Linked DNA regions of Sus scrofa. The protein of the gene in region 1 interacts with the protein of each later gene in a pairwise test. Links are inferred from orthologs where the notes say so. Each region holds a gene or a part of one and is shown in the gene's direction. Other genes may lie near its edges.

Region 1 (4,008 bases):
CCTGGTGGCCTGGGCCTGGGGTTCCTGACCAGCCTCCGGCCCAGGAGTCCAGGTTCCTGCTCAGTTCACTGGCTGCCGCTGGGCCTCTGGCTTTGGCGCAAGGCTGGACTATGGGGCGGGGTGGGGGGCGGGCATGGTCTTTAGAGCTGCCTCTTCCCTCCCCCTGCCCCAGGCAGTGTCCGGTCCCTCCCCTTTCCCCTCTGCTCTCTCCTCTTGCTCTTCTGGATTCTCACCTCTGGGTCCAGTCCTGTGTCCCCTCTTTCCAGTGGTCTTTCGCGCTTTGTGCTGTCTCTGTCTCTCCTTCTCAGTCCCCAGTGTCTCCCTATCACTGTTTGGGGATCTGTTCCTTTCACTTCTGCTTCGGCTGATTCCACATCCCACTGTCCTTCCTCCTCCCTCTGTCTCTCTGCCTCTCGTTGCCTCCTTTGCCTCTTCCCCTCTGGGCCCCGGTGTCTCTTCCTCTCCCTTTCGTGCTCCCACCTCTCTTCCCCCTTTCTCTCCTCCCCTTTCCCTCCGGGGCTTTCCGGTCAGGTTGCCCTTCCTCCTGTCTCCCCAGTGGTCCACCAGCTTCATAGGCTTCGAGAGGAAAGTCCTTGCCTGCCCTCATCTTCCCCAGCTGCCGCAAGATCATTCGCTCAAATCAGAGTAGGGAGCATCCTAGCCTGTCTCAGGCCTGCCCTGGACCACAGAGTGGGGGGTGGTCTGTAGATGAGCTCTCTGTACCCCCTGATGCCTCTGTGTCCCCATCAACTGAGGCCTGGCCGGTGGTCTGAGGGTTCTGGGACATTCCTATGGTGACATTTAGTGGCCAGGTATGGGAGGCGCAGACTGCCGCTGGGGACCCCTGGACCTGTGGACTCCAGACTCAGGCCTCTCTGGGGTTGGATGGGGATGGCAGACCAGCAGGGTCATGGTGCCCGCCTCTAGGAGGGCAACGTCCACCTGCTGAACCTAGCCGCTCACCCGCCCCATCCGGAGCGCCTGGCTTTGCCCTCGGGCACCCCCTGCGCTTTGCACACAGGGCAGGGACACCTGGATTTCTCTGGCCCCCTGAGTGGGGCCAACTTGGAGGAATTTCTCAAAGCCTATTAGAGAAACGCTGCCTCCTGCCTGCCTCCTCGAGCTGGGCAGGGCTGAGGGCGGAGGGAGAGAGGGAGGGAGGGGAGAGAGGAGGAAGGGAAAAAAAGTTGGCAGGCCGACAGCAGAGCTGTGTCTGCATCCATCGCTGAGAGGAGGCCCGTGCAGTGTGGGGCGGGCCAGGAGCAAGGAGAGGCCTTCCTCCCTTTGTGCTCCCCCCCCCCGGGGGGGCCCTATAAATAGGCCCAGCCCCGGCTGTGGCTCAGCTCTCAGAGAGAGGCGAGCACCAGGCAGCCGTCTCAAGCCAAGCCCCCTGCCAACATGGCCAGCGAGTTCAAGAAGAAGATCTTCTGGAGGGCGGTGGTGGCCGAGTTCCTGGCCATGACCCTCTTCATCTTCATCAGCATCGGTTCTGCCCTGGGCTTCCAGTACCCCGTGAGGAACAACCAGACTTCAGGTGCGGCCCAGGATAACGTGAAGGTGTCGCTGGCCTTTGGGCTGAGCATTGCCACGCTGGCCCAGAGCGTGGGCCACATCAGCGGCGCCCACCTCAACCCGGCCGTCACGCTGGGGCTCCTGCTCAGCTGCCAGATCAGTGTCCTCCGGGCTGTCATGTACATCATTGCCCAGTGTGTGGGGGCCATCGTCGCCACTGCCATCCTCTCAGGCATCACCTCCTCCCTGCCCGGCAACTCCCTTGGCCTGAACTCGGTGAGTGGGGTGGTCCCAGGCGCCGGGGCTCTAGAATGGTGCTGAGATGCCGCCGGTTTCATCCTCTGCCCACTGTGCAGATGGGGATACTGAGGAACAGAGAGGACGAGAGGTTGCTGGAGGTCATGCTCAGTTGACCTGGAACTCAGCTGTGCCTGGGTCCAGAGCCCTTTTTCTTCCAGGCACTGTGGGACACGGAGACCCAGAGCGTAATGGTCTTGCCAGTGTCCCCTGCGGGCCTCTATTATGGGAAATAAGCTCTGGAGGCAGCTAGTGGTTGGGCCAGCAGCTCCTCACCCTGGTTTCTTGCTCCCTTCCACCCCAAGCCCTCCCTGTGCAGCAGCTGCCTCCCCATGCGGCCTGGACCCCAGGGAAACTCTGTCTGCTGTCCCCCGCCTCCCTGCACCACAGGCCGGGCATGTGTGTGGGTCCGTGACAGTGTGAGCAGGACTCCCCTGGGGCTGCTCCAGCAGCCCCACATTCGCACAGGTCCCCAAACCAACTGCCTTGAAGGAAAAAGCTCCTCTTGCTCTTCTGGCCCCAGGTGGGGGACAAAGATGGGGGTGAAAACCCTGTCTGGACAGTGTGCAGGCGGTTTTCTTGGATTACAGCAAGGGGCAGGGGCGGGGCAGGGCCCTCTCACCCCCTCTCTGGGTCCATTCGCGGTGGCCGGGCACTGAGAGGTGTGGTGTGTGGGTGGGTGTGAGCCGTGTACGCGCATGGATGGCCACCCTCATGGGTCTCCGAGCCCATGGAACCTGGGCACTCCTGTGTGAGTCTTTTTTGGAAGCGTGTCTGTGTCTGTGAGCCCGTTATACTGCTGGGCAGGCATGTGTGGGGGCGAGTATGTGCCTGCGTGTGCCCACCGCTCTCAGACTAAATGGGGCCCGGCCTGGGGGCACTCAGGATAAGCAGATGTGGGTGACCCAGCGGCAGCTGCAGAAAAGAATTCCTCCTGGGCCGCTTAGCACAGCTAATTGGCTGTTGGCGGCAGTTGCCTGCTGTCGCAGACCTGGGCTTTTCCAGACCTTCAGCCAAGTGCAAACTCAGACCTGGCTTGGGCCACAGCAGGGGGAGATTTGGCCTGAGAGTCTGGGTAGGGCTTGGAGGAGGTCTTAGAACACCGCAGCCGAGGGGGCGTTGCCACAGGGAGGGAGCGAGGCCAGGGAGCAGAGAGAAGGGATCAGGTGGGGTGTCGGCTGGCAGGGCCTGGGCAGGGCAGGCGGGTGTGGGGACAGTAAGAGAGGGGCCAAGAGCCCTGCAGAGACCGCAGGGGGTGATCAGAGAAGCAGCTCTTGCTTCCCAGTCAAAGTTCAGCTCCTGGTGCTGCGGCTCGGGGAGGCTTGGCCAGCTCCGGTGCGGAGGGCAGCTGGCATGAGCCTGCCATGGAGGGATTAGCACTTCTTGTGCCACAGTGACACCTCACCCAACCCGGGGTTGAAGATTAGCCCTGTAGACTGGAGTTTAGACTTTAGTCGAGAAAGAGGTGGGCATGGTGGCTGTGAGGGACAGAGCTCCAGCAGGCTGCGTCCCTCCAGGTCTATCTCTCCAGCGGGGGCAGAGCCGGGCAACATCGGGGAGGGCCCGCCGGGTAGGGTTGGGATCACCTTGGGGCTTAGCTGGGCAGGATGGGCGTGGGGATAGGGTCCTCCTGGTGGGAAGCTGAGTCTCCCAGGCCTCTCGGCCCCCTCTTGACCCTCTGTCTCAAGGACCAGGCAGGCAGGTGTCTCTAAGCTGGCCATCCCAGGCAGACGTGGGAGGGCGGGCTCCTCTGTGTCATCTTGATCTGGCCACGCCCTCCTCCAGTGTCCCGTCCCCTCTCTGGCCTTCATTTTCCAGAGTTGCCCCAATACCTGAGCCAGGCGGGTGGCAGATGGGGGAGAAAAAGGGACAGCATCGTGTGGGGCCCAGCCTAGACTCAAGTCCTGGATCCTACCAGCTTGTTGGGTTTCCCCGAGGCTGAGAGCCCTGAGGCTCCAAGAGGGGACCTGGGTCTCTGGATATCTCCTGGCCACATGTGTAGTACCAGCATGCTCACTCTAGGTCTTGAGTTTATCACTCTTCCCAGGGCGGTCTGGCTAAGGGGAGCCCAAGAGGGGCCGTGCTAAGCATAAGGGCACTGAGCACTGTGGCGGGACCCAGGGCAGCCCTGTCCACACCGTGGAAGTTTGGGGTCTGGCAGGGCACAAACAGAGAAAGCATCCCCGCCAAGGGCTCCCG
Region 2 (4,016 bases), on another chromosome or scaffold:
GACTTCAATAAAGTAAAGAACCTTTGATAAAAATCGAGTCCTTTGCTAAGCCACACTCGCTTAACTTCACACCTCTTTGAACCCGCCCCCCCACCCGCGCCGAGACTGCATCCTCTAGGACCCCGCTGCTGCAGCTGTTTTATTCCTTAAAGACAGATTTCTGGTTTCAATCGTTCTCCTAAAGCGCAGGATAAAATAACGCGGGCTGGGGGTGACCGTGAAGTTGCAGGAGACTGGGCACGAGAGCCTCTCATACGGGGAGGCTCCCAGGTCTCCAAAGCGCCCGCGAAGCCGCGACCCCCGGCGCCCGAGCGCGAGCCCCCGCCGAGCCCCTGCGCGCCGTGGGCGCCGAGCCGAGGCGGGCGCGCGGGGGGCGGGCGGCCGGGGAGGGGCGGGGCCGTGACTCACTCGGTCGCGCGCCCGAGGCAGAAGCGGCACCTCCGGCCGAGCGGGGCGAGGGGCTGCGCCCGCCCTCGGGGCGCATGCGCGCTACCGAGCGGCTCCTGCTCCCTCCCCGCCCACCTTTCCATCCTTCCCCCCTCCCCCTCCCCTCCGTCCTCGCTTCTGTCGCTCTCTCCTCGCCCGCTGGGTGCTGAAGTTGGGCGGATGGCAGCAAACCGGCTCTGCTAGAGGACCGAGCAGCCCAGCCTCGCGCCCCCGGACGCATTGGTGCGCTGCCCACACCTCCAGGCGACTGGGTAAGATGTTGCCTCTGAAACCGAGCCGCGCTAAGTAAATGACATCAAAATGTCTGCTTTGCACCGGTGGTTGAATTTTTTTAGAGGTGGGGGAGTGCGGAGGTGAAGGAAAGAGGGGGCGGAGAGTACAACTGCCTGTGCTCTGAAGAGGGTGGCGGCCGGCTTGGGGGTCTCCGCTCAGCCCGCAGCACCGCGGGAGGAAGCGGGGGCCGAGCTGCAGGTTTGGGAAGTTGAATCCCGCGTTGTAGCCTCGGCGCGGTCCGCTTGTCGCCCTCCGGCTGCTGCGGACCCGCTGGGCAAGTGTCCTGCCCGCCCAGGGAAGGATCCTGCCCACAGTCGGGTCCTCAGCGGAGAGCTGGACGCCTCGGCGATTCGACAGGGAGGGCCAAGGGCGGCGGGAGACCCCGCGGGGCGCGAGGTCCTGCCGATTTGGGTGGCTGTTTGTTAGAAAACCGAATGTGAAATTAACAGTGTCCAGTCGACCGATCACCTCGGGGTGTTTTTTTTTTTTTTTTTTTTTCCTTTACCTTTGGGGAAATGCAGGTGAGGGAGGTGTGAGCCAAAGGGGGTGCAGAAATGCCTACCTTGAGCATCGGTAATACATCTGAGGTGTGTGTATTTAGGGGGTGGGGGCCTCTTTTGTTCTTTCCGCTCCTTTGGTCGATGGAGAGGGAGTTCTCGTGTGCTCGGCTTCGGGTAGATTTCACAGCCTTCGAGGGGGCGAGGAGGTGGAACGCCCACCAATCCCCCAGCCACTGCCCAAGGTGGGTGTATCCGAGACTCTCTTTCTGTAGGTGATGATGATTCTTTGTATAATCGCTAGAATTACGGTTTCATAGCTGCTTACTCGCCAGCCTTCCTCCTCCTCTCCCTCTTCATGTGCTGCGGCAGAGGCTGGGTGCAGACACTCGGCCGTTTCCTTTACTCCCTACCTCCCTGTCTCTGTGAAAAATGTCGGAGGACTTGAGGATGGCGGAGAGATAGGGCTGGCCTCTTCATCCTTAGAGAAGCCAAGGATGGGGAGGTGGTCCTCGCAGGCGGGAGGCTGCTGGCAGGGTGTCCCGGGCAGCCCAGTGCCGGCCTCGGGAATCGCTGGGCTTCAGAAGGCAGAGCAAGGGTCGCCTGTCCAAAAAGATGCCCGCGGTGTGGGGACCCGCCCTACTCCCTCCGCCTCCACCCGGGACACCCACTCACCTGGGACAATCTCAGTCGCTCTGGCGAGACTGACCCCGGCGCCTGGCATAGTGGATTTCCTAACCTCTCTGACCCTTGATAAAGGTTTCCTTCTTTAAAACAGTCACTCGAAGGTTTGTCTAGAGAACTTTGCAATCTTCCCGCAGTTGTTTCTTCTTCTTTTTTAAAATTGTTTTACAGCCGGCCTATTTCCTCCATGTGATGGCTATCGCAGGTAATAGAGAGAAATCTTGTAGTTGGATTCCCGCAAGCATTTCTGAGACTGAATGTCATCTGCATTTCCGGCGTTCATACATTCTGGTTTTCCGGGTGATGAACCCTCTGAAAATCATTTAATTGGAGAAACGAGAAGCAATTTGTATTCTTGTAATGGAAAATAATGTTTTTCTCCTGGTTTCATAGCTGCTTGGCATTATGTGTATTAAATACTTTTTTCAAAACTGTGAAACACTTTGGGTAAATTGTATTTGTTTCTAAAGTCCTTGGTGGTAACAATAGCAGGTCTCTATGAAATATACGTTTTGCACTAATATCTAATGGAAAGGTGATTTATACTCATTCATCAAATGAATGAGCAGTTTGACCTCTTCCACTTAAGTGACTGTTATCAAGCTGTTTCTTCTGTTAGCATGAACTAAAACAGTAATTAGCACACTCACAGGAGAGTAGATTTATTCACTGTTTTTACATTCTTAAAAACTGTATTTAGAGAAAACATACACTTTTTAGAGATGAGAAAACAAGTATTTGTTTTTACAAAAGGATTAGATGGTATCGTTGGTTAAATAAGATAAATCTCCATGGCAATGATACCTGATCTCAGAGCCATGGACAACTCATCCTTCCTCCTGAATTTGTGGTCTGAAAGATAAAGAGAACCTCCTACTTTACAGAGGTGTCTGCTCTTCCAAATGCTGCCCTTTTTGCTCTGGTTCCTCAACTGCTCCTTGGTGTTTAGTCTCTGTGGAAAAGAATTAACTAGGAGAGTTATCCGCTATTCCTGTTCAATTTTAAGTCATACAGCTTCTTCTTCACAAATAGATTCTCTCTCAGCTTTTAGGAAATTTTCCTACAGGGTCCTGACTTATTGGAACTCATAATGTTAGCGTCTAAGTCATTATCATTCCTCTGGCCTTGTTATACTTTTTGATGATGGTGGTGATGAAGATGGTGATGATGAAGACATGCCTGAACCTGTCTTACCATGAGGGCAAGGGGCTTTGAAAAAAGGGACAAATGTGTGTATCCTCATCCGTTTGACCTTATAACAGCCAAATCTAAAAACTAAATCGATAAAAATTTCGGTTGGCTCATAGACTAAAAAGTAAGAAAGCATTTACCTGCTAATTTACAGTTGTAGAGATAGTGGCCTTCCTTAGAAATCTATTTGCTGAAAGGCATGGGTTTTTCTGGAAAAGTGAAAGGTGGGAATGGACAAGGAGAAATGGAGCCAAGAGGAATGGAACCCATCCAACTGCGTTTCTGCTGAGAATCCTTTTCTTGATAGTCCAGCTCTGCTTAGTTAATAATGAAAATATTGCACCACCCAGAAAGGCAAATGCAAGGACCACTGTATACCCAGTGGTTGAGAATAACTATGTGAGGTTAAAAACCATTTTATTTCATCTGATTACTACAGGTCGAGTATAAGCACGGAGTCATTATAGAGACTTAGAATTGTGACATATTCAGGGAGTATCCTGGATCCTCAAAAATATTTTAAGTTTTTATGGTAAGCTTAAAGAAATAAAACAGTTCTGGAGTTCCAGTGTGGCTCAGCAGGTTAAGGATCCTGCGTTGTCACTGCAGTGGCCTGAGTCGATGCCGCGGCTCGGGTTTGATCCCTGGCCCCGGGAACTTCCACAAGCCATGGGCGTGGCCTCCAAAATAGATAAATATAAAAAAAGAAACAAAAGGTCCTTAGAGGTAGGTAGCCTGGACTTTCAGTGTTTGATCAATAGATACTCTGACCCTCCTTATCTCTTCCCATCTCCACTTATCCTTCAGAGACTGCCTTAATTTCTAAAGAAATTCATTTATGCCATTAATCCTGCTGTTTTGCTAATACCTAGCACAACTATCTGGCAAAAGGTAGGTGTTAAATCAGAATTTTTTTCAACGAAC

What was found. The genes of interacting proteins can lie anywhere in the genome.
Region 2: the proteins of AQP1 (region 1) and RGS17 interact in binary tests that used the Homo sapiens proteins (3 or more experiments, as listed by UniProt). The two-hybrid records come from large-scale screens. The link is inferred for Sus scrofa from reciprocal best matches to the Homo sapiens genes AQP1 and RGS17.

What each region holds. Positions count from the first base shown.
Region 1 is NC_010460.4:42,073,942-42,077,949, reverse strand, and holds the start of AQP1 (aquaporin-1), read left to right. Parts: upstream 1-1,208; 5' UTR 1,209-1,398; coding exon 1,399-1,788; intron 1,789-4,008. UniProt on the Homo sapiens protein: Forms a water channel that facilitates the transport of water across cell membranes, playing a crucial role in water homeostasis in various tissues.
Region 2 is NC_010443.5:13,339,785-13,343,800, forward strand, and holds the start of RGS17 (regulator of G-protein signaling 17), read left to right. Parts: upstream 1-1,216; 5' UTR 1,217-1,274; coding exon 1,275-1,462; intron 1,463-4,016. UniProt on the Homo sapiens protein: Regulates G protein-coupled receptor signaling cascades, including signaling via muscarinic acetylcholine receptor CHRM2 and dopamine receptor DRD2.